Linked DNA regions of Drosophila melanogaster. The protein of the gene in region 4 interacts with the protein of the main gene of each other region in a pairwise test. Each region holds a gene or a part of one and is shown on either strand. Other genes may lie near its edges. The genes, in order: mid, fs(1)K10, CG32548 and CG2157.

The links.
Region 1: the proteins of CG2157 (region 4) and mid interact in a two-hybrid assay, tested with the Drosophila melanogaster proteins (one large-scale study listed by BioGRID).
Region 2: the proteins of CG2157 (region 4) and fs(1)K10 interact in a two-hybrid assay, tested with the Drosophila melanogaster proteins (one large-scale study listed by BioGRID).
Region 3: the proteins of CG2157 (region 4) and CG32548 interact in a two-hybrid assay, tested with the Drosophila melanogaster proteins (one large-scale study listed by BioGRID).

Annotation. Positions count from the first base shown.
Region 1 is NT_033779.5:5,459,819-5,467,663, reverse strand, and holds mid (midline), read right to left. Parts: upstream 6,026-7,845; 5' UTR 5,747-6,025; coding exon 5,560-5,746; intron 3,846-5,559; coding exon 3,395-3,845; intron 2,445-3,394; coding exon 2,159-2,444; intron 1,771-2,158; coding exon 952-1,770; 3' UTR 54-951; downstream 1-53.
Region 2 is NC_004354.4:2,240,316-2,246,569, reverse strand, and holds fs(1)K10 (female sterile (1) K10), read right to left. Parts: upstream 4,433-6,254; 5' UTR 4,262-4,432; coding exon 2,966-4,261; intron 2,114-2,965; coding exon 2,018-2,113; 3' UTR 529-2,017; downstream 1-528. Other genes in the region: Or2a (odorant receptor 2a), read right to left, coding at 1-339; kz (kurz), read left to right, coding at 4,668-4,742, 4,811-5,002, 5,064-6,254. UniProt on the Drosophila melanogaster protein: May be involved in localization of sqd to the oocyte during oogenesis.
Region 3 is NC_004354.4:18,435,218-18,442,191, forward strand, and holds CG32548 (uncharacterized protein), read right to left. Parts: upstream 5,365-6,974; 5' UTR 5,192-5,364; coding exon 4,973-5,191; intron 4,860-4,972; exon of another isoform or gene 4,758-4,859; coding exon of another isoform or gene 4,599-4,757; intron 4,546-4,598; coding exon of another isoform or gene 4,477-4,545; exon of another isoform or gene 4,450-4,476; intron 4,044-4,449; exon of another isoform or gene 3,994-4,043; coding exon of another isoform or gene 3,679-3,993; exon of another isoform or gene 3,651-3,678; intron 3,017-3,650; exon of another isoform or gene 2,935-3,016; coding exon of another isoform or gene 2,287-2,934; exon of another isoform or gene 2,273-2,286; intron 2,084-2,272; exon of another isoform or gene 1,911-2,083; coding exon of another isoform or gene 1,785-1,910; intron 1,585-1,784; coding exon 646-1,584; 3' UTR 502-645; downstream 1-501. Other genes in the region: CG6290 (uncharacterized protein), read left to right, coding at 2,287-2,934; CG32551 (uncharacterized protein), read left to right, coding at 3,679-3,993; CG43841 (uncharacterized protein), read left to right, coding at 4,477-4,545, 4,599-4,757.
Region 4 is NC_004354.4:10,867,319-10,871,222, reverse strand, and holds CG2157 (uncharacterized protein), read right to left. Parts: upstream 1,940-3,904; 5' UTR 1,844-1,939; coding exon 1,832-1,843; intron 1,487-1,831; coding exon 1,114-1,486; intron 1,041-1,113; coding exon 682-1,040; 3' UTR 520-681; downstream 1-519.

The DNA.
Region 1 (7,845 bases), on a different chromosome or scaffold from region 4:
TATCTGTTCAAATATCGAATAAAAATTCCAATTAAAAAAACGTTGCTAGTTTTGGTTCACATATTTTTATTTATTTTTGATTGGTTTTTGTATGTTTGTGTTTTTTTTTCTTCATATTTTTCGTTTAATAATTTTTGTTTAAATATTTTTCGTGTTTTCACTTTTTTTAGCGTTCACATTGAATACATATTATGGTTTTACTCTCCTTTAATTTATGCTAAATAAATCTTTACGTTTTCGCCGGATAAATATAACTAACTGAAGCGTCTATGAATTTACTGTTAATACTATGAATATATCATTATATATAATAGCATTACTAACGATTTATGCTTACACTACATAGCTATATATAGTTTACAATCGTGCAGCGTTTTATTTATGTATATGTATATTTTTTTGTTTTGCTTAGTTTTTGAGTGAATTTCGTTCTAACTTTACACTGAGATGAGTTTTCGAACAACATTTAAACATTTGTACAATAAGTTAAACTAGATTACAAAAATTGTCTAGGGGAAAGTGAGAAGAACTGTACAGCTTATACATAATTTAAGATTTTTACAACAAATAGAGAAAAGTTTTTCTTTGCCTTCATATAAACAACAAATAATTTACAACATTCAAAAAGATGGCTAACCTTTTTTGTGTAGTTTTCACTGGGCTTAAAGGTCGTCTAAATTGAAAAATAAAGCTAAAGTTTAAGCAATTTCATTGACTGAAAAGAAACTCAGCAGTAATATTTGCCAGAAACGATCTTTTTTATAAGAAATCATATCGGAAAGCAAAATATTGTATTAAAAACTTTTTGACGATTTTTTTTTTACGTTTTTTTTTAAAGTATTTTCTTAGTATTCCAGGAACTTTTTTGCATTTAAGAGACGACCTTTAACCCCAGTGCTTTCACTTTTTAATACTGCTCGTGGCAAGAACTTGGTGGCGTGGGCTGTTAACTTAGTGGGCGGGGCTGCGTGAGGCGTTTACCGCGGGTGGCGAACCGGCGGCAGAGGAGGGTGGCCCCTGACCGCCTGGCAGTTGGTACGGACTGAACCGCTGATACTGGCGCGGTCGCATATCGGGCGACGGCGATCCCGACGACGTCGACGAGGGCGTGGATGCAGTGGGCGGGGGTGGGGGCGTCCGGTTGGCGGCCATCGCTGCGGCTGCCGCCTGCGCCTGCGCTTGGGCCTGAGCGGCGGCTTGAGCGGCGGCAGCTTGCTGATTGGCGCTGGCCAAAAAGCCGGCGGTAAGTTGGGGCCACTGCTGCTGGAACATGTGGAAGGCGCCCAGGCCGGGGGGTGGCGGAGGTGGTCCGGCTGCCGCTGCTGCCGCTTGGTACATTTGCGGCATCATCAGCTGGGCATAGGGGGAGTTGCCGCCAAACATTTGCAGATGCTGGCGTGCCTTCTCGAACAGCGCCATCGAGGAGGGATCACCCTGAGCGGCAAACTGTTGCATCAGCGGATCGGGAAAGAGGCGCAGTGGCGAGCGGAGCTGCTGCTCCAGGAGCAGCGCCTCCATCGGATCGCGATCGAAGTCGGTGAGGCGGGAGGAGTCGCGGAAGCCCTTGGCGAACGGATTCGAATCGATCTTCAGCTTGGTGATCAGCTGATTCTGATAGGCCGTCACCGCGGTGAATACGGTTTCCGGGAATACGTAGGTCTTGTGATCCAAGTCCTGCAATTCCTTGGGATTCGACGGAATGCTCTGTCCATGGCTCAAACGCACCAAATGAATTCTGGGCTGGTAGCGATGCATCGAGTTCAAAACGATCTGGAAGGGAATAGAAAAGAGGGAAAAGGTTTCATTGTAGTAAGTCGATTGAAATTTACATAGCTGGGAATTAGGAAAGTGCTTAAATGATTGAAAGTTATCTTTAATATTCTTTAAAACTTTTCATAAATTAGATAGAAGTATATTGTCCTAAAATTCACTTCTTGAATTGAACACGAACATTTTCCATTTTCACAGCAAAGCAACATTAATCAACGATGGTCTCTAGACTCGCAACTTGGCGAATATTTCTTCGTGTTGCAAAATTATCAATTATTTAGCACTCGCGGCTAATCGCTACCTCAGCATCTGAATGTCTCAGCAGCCGAGTATCTGCGCATCTGAGTATCTCAGTACCACAGCGTCTCGGTATCTCAAGTCAACTCACCTGTCCGTTCTTATCCATTTCGTTATTAGTCAGCTTCACCTTCTCGAAGGAGATAACTTGTTTGCGGAGCGCCTCGCAGCTGAAGGGACTGTCAGGATGGGCGTAGAGGCGTGCTGGGGGGGCGGGGTCGGCCTTGCCGGCCACCAGCCATGCGGAGCGATGGTAGGCGTACCGATACCGCTTCGAGTCCATGGGGATGATGTCCATGAGGACGGCGTAGCGATCGGCGGGCTGGATTTGCCTCAGCGGACCCGAGAAACTGACGCGCACAGTGGGGAACATGCGTCTGGAAGAGGTAACAAAGTTAAATTAATTCGATTAGATTTTTGCTTTCATTGAATGCTCCCTTTTTTTGGGGATTGCTATTGCCACACAGCTAGTTAAGTCGACTATTTATGGCCCAGACACTGGGGCTTCAAGCTGATTTTTTCCCATATTTTCCTTTTCGATTCTCCCTGCTTTGACAAGTGCAGACAATGAAGACAAAAGCGAAACTCTTCCTTCATTTTTTGAGTCACAAACCTGTGTATCCCTCTTGTCTACATCCTGTGGTTTAATGTCCCTCCAAAACCCGGTGACATAACCTCCGGCCAAAAAGGCCAAAGGCGGGCATCGGGGACCGCCCTGATGTCTGCGACTCCGAGGTGTGATTTTTACAATATCATTAAGGTGTATATATATCTATCTATATGTGTGACCTGTGTGCGTGTGGTCAGGTGTGTGGGAGCAAAGGTGTGGACAACCCGTGGTCATTTGGATTGAACTTGTTCCCATTCTCCCGCTGACAACAGCAACGCCCATAGCTCTGATTTTCTCATTTTCTTCCTGCGCAGGTACACAAATGTTTCCTTTTTTTTTGCACAGTTTCCCTTTTGGAGGAAATAGACCCCACACATTCACTCAAATGGCATGAAATTTTTGTTGACACTGCAAAAACCATTTGGCGAGCCAATTTATGGGCAACTGACTTAGGGTGAACATCTTTGATGATTGAACACGCAGACACTTGATTGTTCAATAAAGAAGTTTTGCGGAAAAGTGATGAATGCAAAATATTTTGTGAAAAGAGTATATGTTTGGGTAATGCCATTTGGCAGCAACTTTTACCTCCCAAAATCTCCCACGTTGCTCCACCATTTAAAACTAATGCCTGTTTGCACTAAACTCGACTGACTGACTGATGGTTGGATGGATGGCTGGATGGATGGATGGCTTGTTGCTGGTTTGGATGCTTACCTGCCCGTTTTGGTGATGATCATCTCGGTGCCGAGATCGTGAAAGCGATCCCACAGCTCTTTGGTCTCCAGATGGCACTGCACCGGCTTCAGATCGTCGCAATTGCAGGAGCCGACAATTTTGGGTGCCTTCTGCACCGGTTCCGGTGTTAAACGCTCCTCGCTGTCCTCCGTTCCCGGGGATTGGGGCGGTGTGGAGCAGCGTCCTTGGCTGCTGGTCGAGCTGGTGTTCAGTTGGGATTCGGCGGAAGCTGTTTGTGCCACGGCGCCACCGCTGTTGCGACTCTTGTGTGCCACATTGTTGTTGTTGTTGTTATTGTTGTTATTGTGGTGGTGCTGGTGATGCTGGTGGTGCTGATGATGGTTCAAACGACGCGCCTTAGTCGGTGGCTCCTCGGCATCGCTGCAGTCGACCACATCAACGTCAACCTCATCCTCCACCGAAATGGGACCTTAAATGACACGAGAGGAAAAAGCGAAAATTGAAAATTAAATCTGAATTACACCGTTCGTTTTGGAGGTAATGCAAATTAAAATGCAATGCACATGGGAAAAAGCGTTAAGTAAAATCTCTAAATTGAAGCCTTCAATATATTTGGCACTAAACACTTTAAAGATCACAATGTTTCCTGAATTTTTCATCACTTTTTCCTTCATAACTTGTGCGTCTTATTAACGATTTTTCCGTTGTGCATTTGGCCAAAAACCGAGGCCGTGCTTCCGTTGACAACATTGAGTGGTGGAGCTGATTTCGCGGCAGACAGCGTGGAGTCGTCTCATATTCTTGGAGTTTCCGCTTCGCTTCGCGTTTCAATTGCAATGAGACAGTGCGACGACGACCGCTGGCTTAATTGTCAAACTGAACACAAATCGGCAATTAAACAGCCCGAAACTCTAGCTGCGATTGCTCTTTTCCATTGCATAAACAAAAGCGGAGGGCTTTCGTTCAAGGTGTGTGCGCAAAAGTTGATGAATAATATTTTTGGGCTTATCCATGGGCGAACTCTCACATACGCTTTCCATTTTCCATAAGCCGAAAATGGTAACAAAATGATGGGGAGAACTAAGCAGCCCGGTTTTTTTGCAGGTGAGCCCAGACGGTAGGTGTTAAAATGCAAAGTAAGCAAACGGAAAACGGAAAGCGACCACAGAAAACAAAAAAAACAAAACAAAATATGAAATTAAAAAAGCTGCATATTTGATAAAGAGATCGTAAAATACGAACACCTCGTAGCGTTTTTGTTTTGATTTCGGCCGTCGCTAATTTTCTGCGCCTCGTAAAATTAATAAAATGAAGCACATTGTTGAAAATTAATTAACATAATTAGCAGCCTTTGTTAAATATGAATTCCGCGCGATTAGATGCTGTGCACAATTTGCATATTATCATAATATCGGCCACAAAAGAGCGCTGCAAGTGTTTGCTAACAAATATCTGGATTCGCGATCTTTGGCTCGACTTAATTGCGAATGCCGTCGGCCAGAGAGAACTAGTTTTTTCTTTTTTAACGTGGCCGGAACGCCTGCTAATTGTCATTAGCAATTAAATGGAACTCTGCGCACCCAAAGCGACAACAGTAATTTAATAGATTTGTTGTGCAATCAATTAGCGATTGTCTTGTGGCTAATAATGTTTGCATTCGCTGGTCAAGTTTGCGGTTCTCTTCTTGGGCGTTGAGTTGTTAATCACGTTTAATTTGAATTAATCGTATAAAAATTCCATTTTTGTTTTAGCAATTTCTAGTTATTGTGTGCTGGTATGTTAAGTAAGTTTTTGTACAGAAAGCACTGCTAGGAGATAAGTGAATATCTAAAGTTACAACTACCTACTATGATTAAAGATTGTTGAATTAGGGAACTTATAGCTTGTCAAATGAAGTTCTAAACAAAAGTACCCTATGGTATTTGAGACTACAGAAATGAAAGTATCTTAAAGATATTCTACATCTCATCAATGAATCTTGCTGTAAGTCTGTTAAGCCTAAAAAAATCTTGTTTAAAAATCACTATATAATCGAAATGCTTAATATTCAAGGCATTAAATTTCTAATGCATAAAAATATATTTTTAAGAACAAATTGTTCCTATCAACCGATTAATGATTCTGCCGCTTCCCACAGAATTCCTTTCTTATTAAGGATATTTTCAATATGTATCTGAACTTACTTGCACTGCGAATGGAGGACTCCCGACTGGAGGCATCTTCGCGAGCCATGATGGCGGCGATGGAAAAGTCCGTCGCTGAGCCGGCGGCACTTTTGCTAGCCGTTGTTGTTGTCTGTCCACTGGCATTTGGTGCTGCAGGGGCGGCGGGCACCCCGTTGCACAAATACGGATGAGATCCAACCAGCATTTTGAAGGGTATGATGTTGTTCTTAATGGGGCTTTAACTAGGGAATACCTTGGAAAGGTATTGGGGTATTGTATCTGGTCACTTTTCAACACTTGGCACTTATAAAGCTAGATGCATCTTTAGCTTTGGTAACTCGAGGGGTATGTGTATGTTTCAAGGTGTAAGTATCTTGTATCTTTATATCTCTCTTGCTTTCTTTTGCTTATCTTTGGCGCACGCGAACTGAGAATCTCGCGGACTGAGTGTGTGCGCAACGGAAGGCAGGCGACGACGAACTGAATTGTGTCAGGAAAATGTTGCCGCTGAGAAGCCAAAAACGACGGCAGGCGCAAAACTCGGGAAACCAGTTATTCCTCTTATGGTCCCTATGTGTGCAAGCGAGACCACCCTACAGCGAGCCGCGCCAGTACGAGTGCAAGCGGGATAGCCCTATAGCCGCACACTCTGAGTGAAAACGCCACTCGCTCTCTCGTTTTCCAATTGGAAAATCGGCGGGGGAGTGAACGTGCGACAGAGAGAAAGGCGGCGCTGTCAGCAACTTGCGCCCCTCTCTTTTCTTCGCCTCACCTCTCTCTCTGACGAACGCGTCATAACTCATTTACAATTAAAAATGTCGGCGCTTTTGGCCTTCTCCCTCGCACCTCTCTATTTCTCCATAGCGAGGTCTCTTTCTTTTTATTTTTGCCTCTCTTTCTCGCCCATTTATGAAGTGCCAACGTTTTGCTTGCGGTTTTTCTTGGTCTTTTTTTTTAAACAACTTTTCGCCGTTGTCGTCGCATTCCATTTCCTGTTATCTCCTCTTCTGACGTTTTCTTCCATCTTCCGTCTGTTCCATTTCGTTTCCAACACGTTCCGTGTCTCACTCAATTCTGTTTTGAGTGAGTTTTATGTCTCTGTTTTTTTTCTGCAGTTGCATCCCGTTGTTTTTCCTTTCTTATTTATCTGCAAGGACATGGACCTTGAGTCAAGGTTATTGCAATGGGACGTTGGGAATTTATTAGTTTGAGCTCGAGAAATTTTTCTGTGCTCTAAAAACATGAATAAAGAGTGCGAAAATAACTACAAGTTTATTTAAAATGTATATGCAATTTGAATTTATTTCGGTAAAGGGAAGAACATATTTTAAACAATTCGCTTAGTACATATTATAGAAGTCCATTTGAAAACATAGTATATCTATAAGCATTAGTCAAGACATTTTTATTTGTAAAGCTATATTTTTTTATATTCAAGAGGATATGATCATGAAATTTAGATTATGGCGATTCAAAAAGTTAACAGGGATATTTTTCCGTTAGTAATTATATACAATTCCACACGCTGTATGATAGAAGCTAGTCCTCTGGAAAATTCCCCCATAATATTTACAGATGTCAACAAATTGTTATGTTTCCCAGGCAAAAGTCAAGACCTTTGTCAGTGCCAATTAACCCGCTAAAAAATGCAAAGAAAATGCGGCTGCGACAAGGAAACTCGAAACAACTGACAGTTCGTCACATTCATTACGTATTGCTCGGATTGCCAATTGCCATGACGGAAATCCTGCGATCCTGAAAAACGGAACGCGGAGATCCAAACTAACTAACAAGCTGACTAATCCCGCTTATCCTGTGCGAGGAACAAACCGTCTTGTTGTGTGATTTTTGTAATTTGAGACATTTTTTAAGTCGGGTAGCGACAAAGTGGGCATGTCACTTTGACACTTTCGCCCTGGGAGAAATGGTGAAAGTGGACGGGGAGGGATGCGTCGTGTGTGTTCTGGTTACAATTGCAGTTAAGTTGATAGCTATAAAATGTTTTATCAGCATTAACAAATTCAAAAGCAAAACGGACGATAGCATTATAGATTGGGATAACTTTAAATACAATTTTATGACACAAGAACGCTGGTTCTAAAAAGTAGAGTGCATACTTTGATTCTAGAAAAAGGTTTACACTTCCTTTCATAAAAAGAGCCTATGTTCCTAATATGTTGGCCTTGTCTGTGCATCTACATGTGTGTCTTTTTAGGTGGCAGTCCCGTATGTCACCAAAATGTCAAAAGCCAAGGAAAACACAAGTTGTGAAAACAAAGGGCGGTCGATCTGAAAAAAAAGTGG
Region 2 (6,254 bases), 8.6 Mb from region 4:
CAGCCGGGCTCTAGCGTCCATGAGCCTTAGGAGAGAGCGAATCTCATGGAGCTGCTTCCTCACCATGTACACATTCGCAAACTTCAAATTGGCCACAATATCGGTAATAGTTATGGTCAGGTTCTCGCACAATCCGGCCATGTTGGTGGTGAACAGCAGCCTGGCCAGCAAGCTCAAGGGAAACAGCACGGTGACCACCAAGTTGACCGTAATGGAGTATACCACGTAAAGCAGGCTTGAAACGCCCGGAGGACGCATCAGGCCAGTGAGCTCCCAAACGCGCCAGTGGTAGTACACAGCACTGTGGGTGTTCAGTTTGAAATCCTCTTGCTTCTCCATTGTCTCGGTTACCTTTGGGCAAATCCATGGGTTCTATTGCCTATATACTCTTGCGATTACCAGTGATTGCGCTATTAGCTATTAGATGGATTGTTGGCCAAACTTGTCGCTTAAGTGGCTGGGAATTGTAACCGTAGGCCCGAGTGTAATGATCCCCCATAAAAAGTTTTCGCAATGCCTTTATTTTTTGTTGCAAATCTCTCTTTATTCTGCGGTATTCTTCATTATTGCGGGGATGGGGAAAGTGTTTATATAGAAGCAACTTACGATTGAACCCAAATGCACCTGACAAGCAAGGTCAAAGGGCCAGATTTTTAAATATATTATTTAGTCTTAGGACTCTCTATTTGCAATTAAATTACTTTGCTACCTGAGGGTTAAATATTCCCCATTGATAATAATAATTCCACTATATGTTCAATTGGGTTTCACCGCGCTTAGTTACATGACGAGCCCTAACGAGCCGTCGGTGGTCTATAAACTGTGCCTTACAAATACTTGTAACTCTTCTCGTTTTGAAGTCAGCAGAGTTATTGCTAATTGCTAATTGCTAATTGCTTTTAACTGATTTCTTCGAAATTGGTGCTATGTTTATGGCGCTATTAACAAGTATGAATGTCAGGTTTAACCAGGGGATGCTTAATTGTGTTCTCAACTTCAAAGGCAGAAATGTTTACTCTTGACCATGGGTTTAGGTATAATGTTAACTGGTTGGGAGATTGGTGCTATACTAGAGTTTTTACGTTGGGTCCCCTAGGCTCTACTATTCCGCTAAGTGGGGCTGCTTTGGCGTTACTTGTCAGGTGGATCCGGTCATGAAGATCAAGAGCGTGATTAATCTACAAGTCGGTAAAGAGAACAGCGGAATTGGGTCAGGGACGGGGTTGGGTGGGGAAAAAGAACACAAAAACAAATCCGTAGATGCACACCATCGAGCACACGTTCACAGAGTGATCTTAATTTGTAGTTTTTAAGAATTAATTTAAAAATACAATCAAGTGGTGTAATCTAAGGCCTACAGTGTGATTTATGCCAGAGTGCTTAGGATCCGGCCACTCTGTTTCAATTATGTCGCGCCCACGCACTCGGGCAACGAATAGGAAAATAATTTATATATATATATATATCAATATATATGCATACATATATAGGTAAGGGCGTGTCATAAATTGTGTACACATACTTGAAATGGCTGCAACTTAGAATTGAACAACAAATAGTTTTCGAATAGGAAACTGGTACGTTACGTTACGTTACGGTTACATTTCAATACTCTACTTTACGTTACGCTAGGTTACGTTAGACAAGTGAATCGATTCGCAATCTAAATTTTTATCGCTATTACTAGAGTTTCGCCCACATTATTATCGCTGGGTTTGTATTTGTTGCTACATTATCGTTCTAAGCTCAGTTCTCAGTCGCAAAAGCAACGTGTGACAAAGGCGGCGCCTCCTCGGATTACGATTGTGTATACGTATATCCGATATAGGAGTCGGGGTTTTGAGTTATATTCGTCTTCAATTGTCAGACTCTTGCTGTTGCTCGCTGTTAGTTTTAGTTTTGAATTGCTCATTGGTTTAAAGTTTAAGTTTACATTTAGTTCTGTGAGTCGACCGACCTCTTCTTTAGTCGGTTCGATTCGATTGATTCGGTATTCGGATTCGGTTGCATTGGCTGCCTAGGGATTTGGAATTGTTGCATCTTTAGCGCTTCCGGCCTTAGGGGCTGCGCTCTGACTTGAAATTGCGTTTTTGTCTTTGTCTGACTTGGCATCCTGCAAAAGAAATACGAGAATTGCCAACGGTGTTCAATAGCAAGGTTGTTGAGTGTGTAAAAAGAGCTCTCAGATCTGTTTTCGCTATTAAATGCATTCTGCGAACTTCTCTTGGCTATTTCCAGATAACTACGCCCACGAACATTAATCACTCAAATCATTATCATTTCATATGCAATGAGTTTCATAAGTTGGGTTATATCTGCTAATTAAGTAACTAAATTGATGTTCTGGCAGTTTAAAATTCATTAAGTTCGCTTTTCACATGCCAACCAAATTGGAAAATGAAAACAGCCATAGGATTCAGTACTGAGGCTCGTTCAATTAAGAATATTAAGTTACTAAGAGTGCATTTATGAATCTACTACGCCTGCCACGATCGAACAGTACAAAATTCTATTAGTTTTTTAAATTTGTATACAAGGTGGCAGTAAACACATTGTATTGCAGTTCTAAATAGTTACACAATTTTGTTCAGTTCCTAATAAATCTATGGTTGTAAATATATGCCAATAGTTTCTCTTTTGCGGATATATATCAGTGCCAAGGGAACAACCGAAGGTGAAAATAGATATGACAACAACCTTCCGCAGGACTGCAGGATAATGCGAGAGAGTGCATCAGGTTGAGACTTACTTTTTCACTTTCTCTGCTCTCTTATTTTTTTCCTACCGCCCGGCAAACGCAACAAAGAGGGACGGGTGGGGGTTACGGATCAAATCAGGGGTGCAAAGTGATTCCGGATTAAGCCGAAACTGTACCCGGAATCGGTGTGCCTCCCTGAATAGAGCTTCGGATGGGACACCTGTTCCAAGGGAATAAGGATATGTTGGGGGGTCTCTATATGCTCACCTTGGCCTTGACAGTGGCTGCCTCCTGCTTGAGATACTCTTCCCGCGCCGCTTCGTAGAGACTAACGAACTTGTCCCGCTGGCCCTTGTACTGAGCGAAGAGCTCGTCGTCTTTGTGGCCCTTCAATCTGTTCTCGATGTCCACCTTCTTGTCGTGCTCGCTGCGTATCTCGTCCGTTACCCAGGGCTTTTCGATGGGATACTGATTGATCAGGTTCTTTAGTGTCTTTATGCTGCTCTTGCCTTTCACCACCTGCTTGATTAGCTTGGGATTGGGCTTCATTATCCGGCCGCCATTCATGTTCATTGGTCCATAAGGTCCGACCGGTGGAATTCCCCGCGGCGGCATCCGTGGACCCATCATGTGCATGGGCGGTGGGACACCCATCATAGGACCTGGACCGGGTCCGTTGCGACGCATAAAGAGCGGTGGCGGCGGCGGTGGTGGTCCACCCATGGGGCCCATGGGTCCGGGACCGCGCATACCAGGCACCGGTGGCGGGAAAGGCATTTGCGGGTAAGGTCCTCCAGGGCCCATCGGTCCGGGTCCCCGTGGTCCGGGGCCCATCGGACCCATTGGCGGACCCATCATGAGGCGTGGAGGAGGACGGTTCGGAGGCGGCCCGCGTTGGAATCCATTAAAGCCACCGCGAATCTGATTGGGATTGTTGCCCGGATGGCGCTGCCAATCGCTTCCGTTCATCTGATTGTTGAAGGGCTGCTGCGACTGGTTCATATGATTGTTGTTCTGGTTGTTCATCTTGCCCTGCTGCTGGTTCGGACTGAGATGCTGCTGCTGGTTCGAATTGGGATGCTGCTGCTGGTTCGGACTGGGATGCTGCTGCTGGTTCGGACTGGGATGCTGCTGCTGGTTCGGACTGGGAGGCTGCTGCTGGTTCGGACTGGGATGCTGCTGCTGTTTGATGCCCTTCATAGACTTCTTCTTGGGACTGCCTACCTGATTGTGTTTGAATCCTGGTGGCGGGCTGCTGAAGTCAATGTACAGGGGATCGCTCGGCATTTGGCTGGAGGAAAACATCATCTGATTGTTACCGTTGACCCTGTTACCATTCCCATTTCCTCCTGGTCCGGAGTTAATTTTGCCCGAACGAAACGGTTTTCTATACGGAGCCGCAGCTGCGCGGGGATTATTGTTGCAATTATTATTGTTGCTCTGGTTGTTGCGGTGCTGCAGATTTGGCTGCTGCTGTTGCTGAAACTGTTGCTGCATTTGGTGCGGGTGCTGCTGCTGCGACTGCATGGTCCAGTTCTGATAGAATTGGTTCTTGGACACCATTGCAGGTAGCTGGATTTCACTGAAAACGGGGGTTCAGGACTCGAGCAGAGGAGCCAAGCCGAAACGACAGGCGGGGAGCAGATGGATCTAAAATGTTGCACGCCTATTTGTCACAAAAACTTATATTGAAAATATTACGATGAATCGATTGCGATAACGTTTCGATACCAGTGCTGTCGAAGGAGTGTGAACAACTATAACAATCAGTTTTTCCCACTAATGTATGTTTCCACTAACACAAATGTAACATCACAGCACATTTTAGAGTATCTCAACTTTTGTTATCGCCTGCGCTGTTATCGATAAGCGTACTTCGCACGTGTGATTTAAATCAATGTTTATATTATTGCCCAAAGTTAATTCTGTTACTTTATTTTATTAACTATATTGGTAAAGTAAAGTAATCATGGGCAAGAAGGTGCACAATGCCAAGGCGCGGCAGAATCCACAAACAATTGTGGACAACTCGGCCGTGAAGAAGGTAGGTCATCCGTCGGACCACACACTCGAATCCGCTTTCTTACCCTTTCCAAATCCAATACTCTACAGATTCAGATCGATGTGGATGCTGTGGCCGGCGGCAACCAGGTTGGCTACGATGAGGCCAACGCTCTGGTTCTGCCCTCCGAGAAGCGGGCCACCAAGATTAAGGTGGACAAAGTGCAACACGTGAAGATCCTTTCCAAGAAGCAGCGCAAGCACCTCCAGGCTATTGTGGACAAGAAGAAAAAGAAAGAGGGTGTAGGTTTTTATTCAGTGCTAATATAAAACTGATATTTAATTGAAATCTTTTCTAATTTAGCGCGCTCAGCTGTTGGGTGACCTTGCTGCCGTTCAAATTCCGGAGGAGGAGCTGCAGCAGTATACTTCCATTAGCCAAGTGCAAACCGTGGGATTAAAGCGTCTACCCACCCTTGACGAGTATCTAGCCAAGAAAAAGGAAAGACAGGCCCAAGTTTTAGCTGAAAAAAGCTCGGCGTCGGGTCTCCGCGTAAATGCTATAAAGGGCTCCAAGCGCAAGCTTCTCGTCGAAGAGGAGGAGGAACTACAGGCCAAGCGAAAGAATCCGAATGTAATTAGCGTGGAGGAAGATGACGAAGATTCTTCATCCTCTGATGAGGACGATGAGGAGGCACCAGCTCAATCCGCTCCTATTGCCATACCCACTCCAGTGTCTATAGCTCCACCGCAAATCGCTGTTAAACCACCCATTAAAAAGTTGAAGCCAGAGCCTAACCCACCTGCCTGTATCCACCAGACTGTCTATGTGCCCGTACATCGGACAACAGAAGTTCAGAATGCCCGTCTTCGACTGCCTATCCTCGCGGAGGAGCAGCAGGTGATGGAGACAATCAACGAAAACCCCATTGTGATCGTGGCTGGTGAGACTGGCTCTGGAAAGACTACCCAGCTACCGCAGTTCCTGTACGAAGCGGGGTATGCCCAGCACAAGATGATTGGAGTGACGGAGCCGCGGCGAGTGGCTGCTATTGCCATGTCCAAGCGGGTGGCCCACGAGATGAACCTGCCGGAGAGCGAGGTGTCATACCTCATTCGCTTCGAGGGAAACGTAACACCAGCGACGCGCATTAAATTCATGACAGATGGTGTGTTGCTTAAGGAGATCGAAACTGACTTTCTGCTTAGTAAGTACTCAGTGATCATCCTGGACGAGGCGCACGAGCGCAGTGTTTACACAGACATCCTAGTGGGTCTCCTGTCAAGGATCGTGCCCTTGCGTCACAAACGCGGGCAGCCGCTGAAGCTGATCATTATGTCTGCCACTTTGCGGGTATCCGATTTTACAGAGAATACTCGCTTGTTTAAGATTCCGCCACCGTTGCTTAAAGTGGAGGCTCGACAATTTCCGGTGACTATTCACTTCCAGAAGCGCACACCTGATGACTATGTGGCGGAGGCTTACCGCAAGACCTTAAAAATCCATAATAAGCTTCCGGAAGGCGGCATACTAATTTTTGTGACGGGACAGCAG
Region 3 (6,974 bases), 7.6 Mb from region 4:
CAATCGAAGTCCGTCGCCGTTGCGACTGCGACTGGCTGCTCGGATAAATGGATCCGCCAGTGGGATGTACGATGGCATGGGACGGATTATATTAACTCTATAAACAGATTCAATGGCAGCAATTGTGTGCCAATGCGAAGGCGGTCCGTTCAAAGCAATATTAATGCATTTATTGCACGTGAGCTCGGCGGCGTGTTAAAGATGAGCGTTGCCGATTAGGAATGACCCATCATTAGCCATGATGAATCTGGTAAGTGGGGCCAGTTAACTGACCAGCTAGATTCCACGGAGCACGTGCCGATGGTTTATTAGTAATGAAATGCTGTTGGGTCATATAGGATGGATTTGGGCTAATTAAGCAACTAACTAGAGTACATAACTCGAGGCCAGAAGTGCACATTCAAACTCTTCTTCAGGCAAATCTAACCCTCGTAACTTCGTAAGCCATAATCACCATTTGATAAGCCTGAAATGCATCCACCCCTCTAAAAACCAACAATTATCATCACTTACAAAATTTATTCTTGCTTGCCCTAAACAATTCCTCTTATCAAATACCACGAAAATTTACGCAAAAAAAAAGGTGTGTGAAAAAAAAATGAAAATACTAGTTTTGGAAGTCCTTGGAATAACAGCTCATCATCATTAGAAGCTGTAGTTGAGATTGCCGCTTGAGAAGCTCACATGAGAGACGTCCGGCGATTGCTGGTAGGTGGGGGATCCCAGCACGGAGGACATGGGAACGGCCATCCCATAGCTCTGGCGGGTGGTGGGCGCCAACTGGCTGGTGGCGAACTGATGGGCCACCGACTGCTGCTGGTCACGGAGCACGTCCTGCTGCTGCTGCTGCATGAAGCCCATGTGCTGTTGCGTGGAGTAGAAGTCTCCACTTGCTCCCCCTCCCAGACTGTTGGAGCGCAAAGGCGCTGATCCGATCACTCCTCCCGGGATGACTCCAACTGGACCTCCTCTTACTGGACCTCCGGGCACAATGGATCCGGATGCAAGGCGCTCGGGCTGCAGGCCATTGTTGCTGAACTGCGGCCGACGGTAGGCGAAGCGGCCAGCTGCGTTCTGTGCTGCCACGCCCGCCGGAGCGCCTCCCACATCGGCGGGAGCAGCTATCTGGGGGGTTTGGGGTTGAATCTGATGAGCCGGTGATGTTAGGCCGCCGGATACATCGGGATAGTAGTGGTAGAGCTTCTGCAGCAGGTGCTGCTGCTGCTGCTCGAACTCGGCTCGTTGGCGCTGATAATCGAGGAAGGCGGCGTGCATCTGGTCCGCATAGCTGGGCATGTTGACCACGCCACCGCTAACGCCCACTCCTGGTCCGGATGCAGCTGCTACCTGCGGCGATGTGGCGGCCAGGAGTTGCTGCTGCTGCTGCGCCAGGAGCTGCTGTTGCTGCTGTTGCTGCTGTTGCTGCTGTTGCTGCTGTTGCTGCTGTTGCTGCTGTTGCTGCTGCTGGAGCAGCGAGTTGGGCGTGACCTTCAGCTTACCATCGGCCCGGAATCCTGGCTGCGAGTACACGGCAGGATACTGCTGTCCCGACGGCGAGAATCCACCAAATTGCGTGGGAGTTTGCTGCATAGGTTAGAGGAATAAACGGATGAGAATGGAAGCTAAACCAGGACAATTTTATCCTTATTCTGAACTGGCTTAAATGATATTTAGATGAGTGTCTAATGTGCGCAAGTAGTAGGCCGTTTTCGATGTGTAACTTTTGATTTCGTTTTGTAAAATATTCATACAATTGAGCTTATAACACGCTTTCCTTTACTCACGGATGAAAGGCCACGCCCGTGATTCTTGATAATTGAGTGCTGGGAACCCAGGCATCCCTTTCCCCACTGTCCCTCCGCGTCAGCCAATCGACTGGCGTTGCCCCCACGAACTTTGCTGGATCTCATGATTCCCTGTTGTTCCGTTTGTCGCGATGTAAACTTAAAAGTTTTGACGAGAGGTTGTGTAGCTCGAGTGTGGATAGCCAAAAATTGATTTTCAAATTCAGATTTTGATACAATTTGTTTACGAAGTCTGTAGCGGGAAAAATTGTAAAACGAACCGATCTGAACCGACTGAGCGAGCAAGTGATACTGACTGGATAGCTCAACCAGTCCGGTGACACCTGACAGCTGTCGTCGGGCCAATCCGAAAGCCTACTGTGATCTCTACTAGCCATCGGTGCCATGGTGTGGATTCAAATCGATATGTATCGAAGGGAATCACGCGATTCGATGGCTTAAAAAGCGCGGATGCAATGCCGCAACCTTACAGTTAGAAACGATGAATCGCCATCAGCTGGCACTTCTCCTGGTTGTCGCGGGTCTGGCCATGATTGCGGCCAGGCCAGGTCCACAGAATCCGCTAGAGTCGCTGGGCATGGGCGCCATGTCTCTGGCCGGAAATATAGCGGAGGCAGTTCAGAGTGGCGCCGCCATCTCCCGCGACGTCGACATTGACAATCCCCTGATGTCCGTGCACTCGAAAACGGCCGTTGGCTATGGAGATGCCATACGTCCCATTGCCACCGATTCATCCGAGGAGGATCGTCGTCGGAAGCGAAGGCGGCGGAGCCTGCATCGCCTCAAACGCGCTCCTTGCTTCTGGAAAATGAGCGCTGCCGCCACCACAGCGGCGTCCGCCGACGATGACGTGGAGGCCAGACGGAGACGAGCTCAAAAGCGGGCCGCCAACAATGCCTCCCGATCCCGAGTGAGTCCCAAGACCACTGGCAAAAAGAACAAGAAGTTGGTGCGACGACGACGGCAGGAGGAGAAGGGCATGGAAGTGACACAGAATATGGACGGAGCGGATCCCTTGGGCCTGGGCACCAGAATCAAGGCCATGTGGCTTTCGTTTGTGAACAACGTAGCGGATGTGGTGCAGCAGGTGCGCCAGAAGATCACCGAAACGGCCAACTCCACGGCGTAGAATCACCGAGCTCCCTGACGACCACCATCGAGTGTATTTTTTTTGTTTGTTTATAAGTGCAATAAAATCAACTGAAAACCGGAAACTGTGTTGAGCGGCATGTTTTCTGGGTTGGCCAAAAACATTACGATTACGTCTTCATTCAAATATGTACTATAGATTACATCCATTTTAAGACCCCATCATATTATCAATGTAGTAGCCAATTAAGGCCAATCACCTTTGGTAAAAGGTGACCCCAAACGGCATTAGAGTCAAAAAAAACGTGTACTCCGTCTTTAAACTACAAATGCTTGTGAGCTCAACTAAACATATCACCAAGGTGACCCAAAACTTGGAATCCGGTTACCATTTTAAAGTGGCATACCTTTAAGAACTCAACCTTATTTGTTGCTCTTTAAAAAGGTCACCGCCGAAGAGTCACCCCCAATCGATAAAGATTCCTCAGGCAGAGGCAATAAAGCAAAAAGCGAACTGTCATTTCTGAGCAATCCGATCGAAAGTGGTCCGAGGAGAAGGCCATTGGGGTCACCACAGCAACTCGACTACTGAAGGCTGTCCAGATGGGAGATACGGAAACGAGCCGAGTCACGATGAGCCAACGGTCAGTGGGCACTTCCGGGCCAGATGAGATGCATCTCGACATGCATTTCGAACATTTCCGTGTCTGGTCGAAATCTGATTGAATTAAAAAGGCTGGGTACAAAAGGCGCATTCAGGTGGCTGGGCACAACAGTTGGCCAAATGATTTCCGGACCCAGATTCTCTGCCCTACTAATCGTGGCCCTGACCCTCGCTCTGGTGGCCCAAACTTGGGCCGACGAGTTCGATCTGGACTACTCCAACGAGTACGACGATGTGCGACCGCATTTGGTCTATCCCGACGATCCAAGGCTGGACAAGCGGATCGGCGATGCGGCGCGGGAGTTTGGACAAAATATAACCCAAGCCTGGAACGCGATGGTGGACTCGTTTAAGAACTACTTTGAGGAACTCAAGAACCTTTTCTCCGACACCACGGATCTCGATTCACCCAATGAAGTATTTTCTAACCGCTGAAATGGGCGTTTTACTTTCGTTTCGAGCAAATAAAGCGTAGCAAAGAATTTAAAACATTCATTTGATTTGGGAAATATCATCCGTTGAAAGCCAACTTGATTGCTTTTGATTTAGGTACATTTCCAAGCGGGTATTTATAATTATTTTTTGAATACTACAAAATGACAATACTAAGTAATATGGTATACATCTGCGGATGATAACCAATTAGGCACTGAATGATTCGGCTTAAAATGCTTTTCCAACCAACAAAAATGAGATTTTTTCATCTCTGGTTTAATTAGATCTGTAAGCCACTAAGCTAATTGCCAATAACAACCTCGCATGCTAACTAAACCAGATGCTAGATGTTGCATCTAGATTATGTAAACATGAAAACATATCTGTTTTTCGCGTAATTAAGCAGAATAACTAGAAAGTGACAGGTTAAATAGCTGGCTTTCTTCTTGGCAATCAATTATTGGGAAGTGAAGCCATCACAGGATGACATCGCCTATTTTAATCCTGAGTCTAGGTCTGCTCCATTGGAGCATTTCGCCCGTCTGGTCACAGGTAAGATACTTCGTACTCGTATCGTATATCCTTGATACCCAAATTCCCTGCAGAATATGCCCACTGATGTGATGGACGCCGTCGATCAAATGCAGGAGATCTTCGAAAACAATATGCAGGGCCCACAAAGTTCGGAGTATGGTGACGGGACATTCAATGGAACGCCCTTTCTACCCGAACAAGCATCGAACATCCAAAACTTTGGCGGTTAATTTCAATTCGAATTCCAATTCATAGTACTACTCTAAAGCAACGCCATGTGGCTAAATATTAAATTAAATTGAAGAGTGTGTCCGCAACTTTTTCCCTCGTATAATTGTTATCCAGTGTTTTCTTAAGCAATTTTAAAATTCAAGTTTAACTTTATGTGCTTTTCCCAGAGTTTCAATAGTAGATTCACCCCTCACCATTGCCGTGATGTACTTACCAACTGCTCCTGCTCCTGCGGCTGCTGCAGCTGCGGCTGCTCCACCTGCTGGTTCTTGGCCGCTCCTCCGTAGTACCGGGTGAAGGTCTGCTGCACTCCGGGCGTCTTCAGGCTGTAGGAGTTCGAGTTGGCGTCCGTGTGGATGGAGACCTGTGCGCGGCACACCTCCTGCTGGCCGGCAAGCACCAAGGCCGCCACCGTCAAGGCCAATGCGAACATGATTTACGTGGTGAGGCTAATGGATGGTTGATGGCTGGATGGCTGGATGGCCTGGTATTGGAACTCGACTTCGTCTCCCGTTGATTTGGCAGTATGTCCGAGCAACCGTGCAATCGGACTATGGATCGTTATCAGCTAAGCGGACGCGACTCGCGAACGTCGATGGTTGACTGTGCAGCGCCCGCCGACTGTCCACCGATTTTATACCGCCTTCGATTGGGGAATGTCCACGCTTGGCTCTCTGCCTCTGCCACTTCAGTTTTTGGCCCCAAAAACAGCGTACATGCATACATATTTTGGCCATAAAGTTTGGCCCAAAAAATGTTGTACTCTTTACGTCTTAAATGTGTGAATAAAGTGAAGTAAATAATAGTTGAACCAAATTTGAAGATAATAATAGTCTCAATTTTCGGTTTATGAAGCACCTGAAAAATCATATTTTAATAACACTTATAGAATAATGACTTCAGTTTATCATTAGAGCGAAATATTTCACGAAGTTAACTTCTCAATAATAGGTTCAATCTAATCATCCATTAGATTATTTTTTAAAAGGTGTCATTTGATTTTCTCTGTGCAGTTGGAAAGTATTATAGCTTCTATTCGAAATCGTTGCCTGAAATCCAAGATATCTAATGTAATCCAATTGAACTGCTGTGCCTTCAAGTTTTTTTCTTTTTTTTTGACAAAGCTGCCCTACCCTGTCGCGTTTAATATAATTTTCCATAATTTCAATTTCGATATATATTTTATTTTAATTTTCACCCGCATTGTTTTGTTTCACATTTTGCGTGGATAACTTTCTTTAAACTTTGGTGTCTGCCTGCGGAATATGGAATAAGCAATAACAACGGCGGGGAGGAGTGTGCAGTGGAGGGTGTAGATGTAGATGGCAATTCCAATTCCAATTCAAATTGAATATGCTCTTTGGCACTTACATAACAATCCGCCCCCGCTGGGCGAACGGCAAACTAAACATAAACACCGGCATAAAACGTTGTTTATAGGAACGTGCCCGGAATGCGCGATATGTCCGAAAAGCGAAACTTGCAAATGCCGGCTACACGGTGCGAAAACGAGTGCGCCTTCAGACCCATCGTTCTCTAAACGCAGAGCATGATGAAGTGAGAAGACTAGTGGGCTTTTGTCGCTGTGTACGAATGGCTTTAGCCACCAAGATACGGAAGCGGGGTTAAGGCCAGAGTAAGAAGCGAAAAATCGGCTCAATTGGAATGCAGTTTTGATGGCCCAATGAGATTTGGCCCGTTGGCAGGGCAACGATTATTATGAAAGCAGCAAAGACCTGGTGGTGGTTAGTGCGTAATGGTCACTTAAGCGCGCGCTTACCTGCCACCGTTGCGTATACGTGATACGTGATCGTCATAAATTTATTTGCGCATTTCATTATGCGGCGTGTAATTGAAAGCGCATTTCACACGATTGAAAGTTGTCTGTCCCCGACTGTCTGCCTGTCTGTCTGTGTGTTTGTGTGCCTGCTGACCCGCATTACCCCAATAAAGTGACCCAAACCGAGTTCCTAACTTAATGTGCCCCGGGGTAATGGCCATAACTTCTCCTTTCACTCCGGCTGCATTCCTTGGGGCTTGGGTCCTATCTATCCATGTGGGGTCGTACTTTCCGTTTCCGTCCGGGCGTGTTTTCTCCATTAAAGTTGACTTTTCCGAATGAAATGCTTGTCGTTTTACGATTACCCCACCATAAGCCATCAAAATAAACAGCGCAAATTATGCAAAAAAGAAGGAGACCCAAAAAGCAGATGAAC
Region 4 (3,904 bases):
GTACTGCAGCGACGACAAGGAGTACGATTGCAATAGCCAACTGGAGACGTACATTCGCCAGGGTCTGCCCATGCTCAAGTGGTTCGGCCTGGAGGATCTGTTCTACAAGCACGGCGTCGACGTGGAGATCTTTGCGCATGAACACTTCTACACTCGCCTGTGGCCAATCTACGACTACAAGGTGTACAATGGCAGTGCCGAGGCGCCATACACTAATCCCAAGGCGCCCATCCAGATCATCACGGGTTCCGCCGGCTGCAAGGAGGAGCGCGAGCCCTTCTCCAACGATTTGCCCATCTGGAATGCCTACCATAGCAATGTAATTGAATGACCTGCTTAATATCAAAACGGAATACTATAATTCTATAATCTCTTTAGGATTACGGATACACCCGCTTGAAGGCACATAATGGCACGCATCTTCACTTCGAGCAGGTGTCCGATGACCAGAACGGCGCCATTGTCGACTCCTTCTGGGTGATCAAGGACAAGCATGGCGCATATCCATCGCCCCAATGAGATTACATGCATATATAAATATATACTTTCTAGTTAAATGACGATTATGATAATGTATTTTTTTGTAGCATCTTTTAATAAAAATAAAGTTAGAAAAAAATATATCGATGAAAAAAAATAAATTCCACTAGCTTAGATCTTGAACGTTGGACCGTGCGGTGTCTAGTAGACGGTTCCCGAGATTCCGGAACCGTAGTTATAGCCCGATCCGATGGGCGGCACTCCGCCCAAAGCGCCCAAGCCGCCGCCCACCACGCTGTTGCCATAGTTGCTCGTATAGTAACTGGATGGATAGCCACCAGCGCCGAATCGGGTGTTGTAGTACGGATACCCAGTGCCGGCTCCAGCGCCCAGCCTGCTGTTGTAGTATGACAGGGCGTATGGATTCGAGTTGTAGGAGCCACCATAACCACTAAGTCCCGATCCATAGCCACCAAGAGCGGATCCATAGCCACCCAAAGCGGATCCATAGCCGCCCAGAGTGGATCCATAGCCTCCGTATCCGGCCACTGCAGCACCATCTGGGGATTGAGAAACAGCGTTGGTATACTACGAGTCTTCGGCAAGAGATTGAGAGTCTTCTTTCAAGCTCACCCTCACCTAATCCACCCAGAGCTCGCGAGCTGTACGGATTGTAGTAGCTGTCCACGCCAACGCCGACGCCACTGCCGTACGCTCCTCCATAGCCGGCTCCCAGGCCAGAGGCATAGCCGCCGTATCCTGCGCCATATCCGGCGCCATAGCCGCCGTATCCCGCGCCGTAGCCCGCTCCGTAGCCACCGTATCCACCAACATAGCGCTTCTCCTGCTTCTTATCCTGCAGCGGGGCATAGCTGCTGGCGGCGCTCACCTGATCCTCCACGGCCACCGCATCCGGTGCCGATGCGGATGCCACCTGCTCCAGGTCAGAATCCGCCGCGTCCTGGGCATAGGCACTCAGCACCAGACTGGTTGCTATCAGGATAAACTGCGCGAGGATAAAGCGTCACCAAAATGTATCATATTCAAAAGATTACCACTTAAAACATATTTCAATAAAGTGAAAAGTACTTTTTAACAATAGTATTTTGTTTAACAAATTCTCAAAAGCAACATAAAACATATTCAAAAATGTAATAAAAAAAATGTAAAAAATATGTATCAACTTTAAACTAAAATTTAAATACACTTTATAATTTAACAATGAACATCAAGCATTTGGAATACAATGCTTTCAAAACTTATTATTCACTTTAACGAACTGTGTTTTTTAAATCATTTTCTAGTTTTTGGGAAATTATAATCCACGAGAGATCCTTTGGCGAGTCCTTACAAAGCACTTCATGTTGTGGCTGCCGGTTTGTGGTGTTCACTGCTTTCTGGTGGCTAACTGCTCCTTCAAGACTATGATGCGCACGCGCCGTTCGACACTTGTCTAATGATTCCCCACCGGGCCGGCAGTCGCTTTTATACCCGCCGAGCCCACTTCCAATCCCAGCGAACTCGAGCCGCGAAGTTGGACGCAACTGTTGCATCCCAGAGATTCGTGTCGCCTTGCTTGCCACCTATGTATGTATGACGCATGCCACTGGACAACGTGTATGCTGATGGGTCTTGGCTTAATCATCAAACATATTAGATTGAATTTATATCCTGGATTAGATAGTTTCCAGAATCAGATGAGCTCTACTTAACCCATTTATGGAACAACTCTGGATCAACTTAGATTGCTAATATTGTATATTAAATACATATTTATAATCTTAACTCTTTTCTTGAAGAAAACAATACCTTTCGAATGATCTACTTATGAAAAGCTGGTTGGGCGTGTTGATGTGTGATCACACATCATTATGAATATTCCCACGATCTGGGGGATCAATTATACCGCCGCCGCTCAGGAGAAGCAATAACAATGATGACAAATGCTAATTGAATCATTAACTTGACCCTGAAACAGCTAATTGGTCAACATAAAACGCGAAAATGCCCAACGATTGCAGCTTTGAAAACAAAGTTTAAAAAAAAAACGTAACAGCAATCATGCGAGTCCAGTTGAAACGATTTAGTTAGATAGATAAATATTGCGGCTAGTACGTGACTCATTTCATGAACAACAGTATCGAATTGGGTTTTCACTTTCCAGCGCTTATTTAAGCCAACTGAAATTGTTAACAAAACATCGCAGAGAAGAAGAGCCAGGCGGATCTGAATGCTTGAATTTCGCCAACAAAGGTGGCAATTGTTAATTTCTTAGAGGCTTTTTGGCCAAGTGCCTAAGCTAAGTATCCCCATTCCAACCAACATTGCTGACACATTTTCTAAAAAACCTAACGGATTGGAGTCGTAACTTCGATTGGGTTGAATGGACTGAATTAGGTTCTACCAATCTGGGCGATAGTTTTAGCATAAATTCAGGGGTATTCCACATTTAAGTACATTTAATCTATAGAGTTTAGTACAAGAAACTAAAAAGTACTCAGATGTTTCAAATAACTTTAATAATAACTTTAGCAAGTGTTTGAATAATAAAGTAGCATTTAAGAACATAACGATCTATATCCGTTTGCCATTTTCCAAAACTGCAAAACTGTAGCTTGTATCTGTGCAGTTGAAGTTACGTGTGCCAATAGCATTGCGATACTTATCCACGGATATTTACGAAATATGTCAAAATAGTTGTCGATGCCATGCTTGTGGATAGCCACATAGTATATACATACGCTTGTCATACCGCCCATATGAGTGGGTTCACATTGTTCGACCCGGCGGGCATGTGAAAAGTGTTAACTGATTCGACTGACTGTATGGATGGATAGATGGTTGGAGGGATGGATGGATAGATGGAGGGATGGATGGAGGGAGGCAACCGAAGCTACTGCCGACTGCTATGAGTTGACTTGGCCATGGGTGCACTTTGGCGATGGCCTGGGAGTTTCTCGTTTTTTTTTTTCTTTTCTTGTGCTCTTACCCCACTGAGACAATGGTTCTTTAATGCCGAGGCCTAAAAGCCCATTACACGGGCAGCCCGTGAATCTCGCGGTAAGTGGTAGCCTCCATTTCTTGGCCAACCCGCGCACACGGGGCGTATGAGTAATCAAGGAAAAGCAAGCACGGTGCAAAAATCAGATTTAGAACTTTGTCAGTTGAGATAGAGCCAGTTAAAAGCATAAAAAAATGTGGAGCAAAACTAGTATAGTGATTTTTTCAAATATCATTTAAGTTGCATATTTCATCTCAGAATTTTAAGACCATTCTAATCCATTATTGTATTCAAGAGTTTTTCTATCTTTGTATATCACTCAGTTCATGTTGTATCTTTTCCATTGAAGTATACGCACCTGTTTTTCGCAGTGCATTCGAAGGGAAGAACCAAATCCCAGATTAGACAGGTAACATTTTCCCC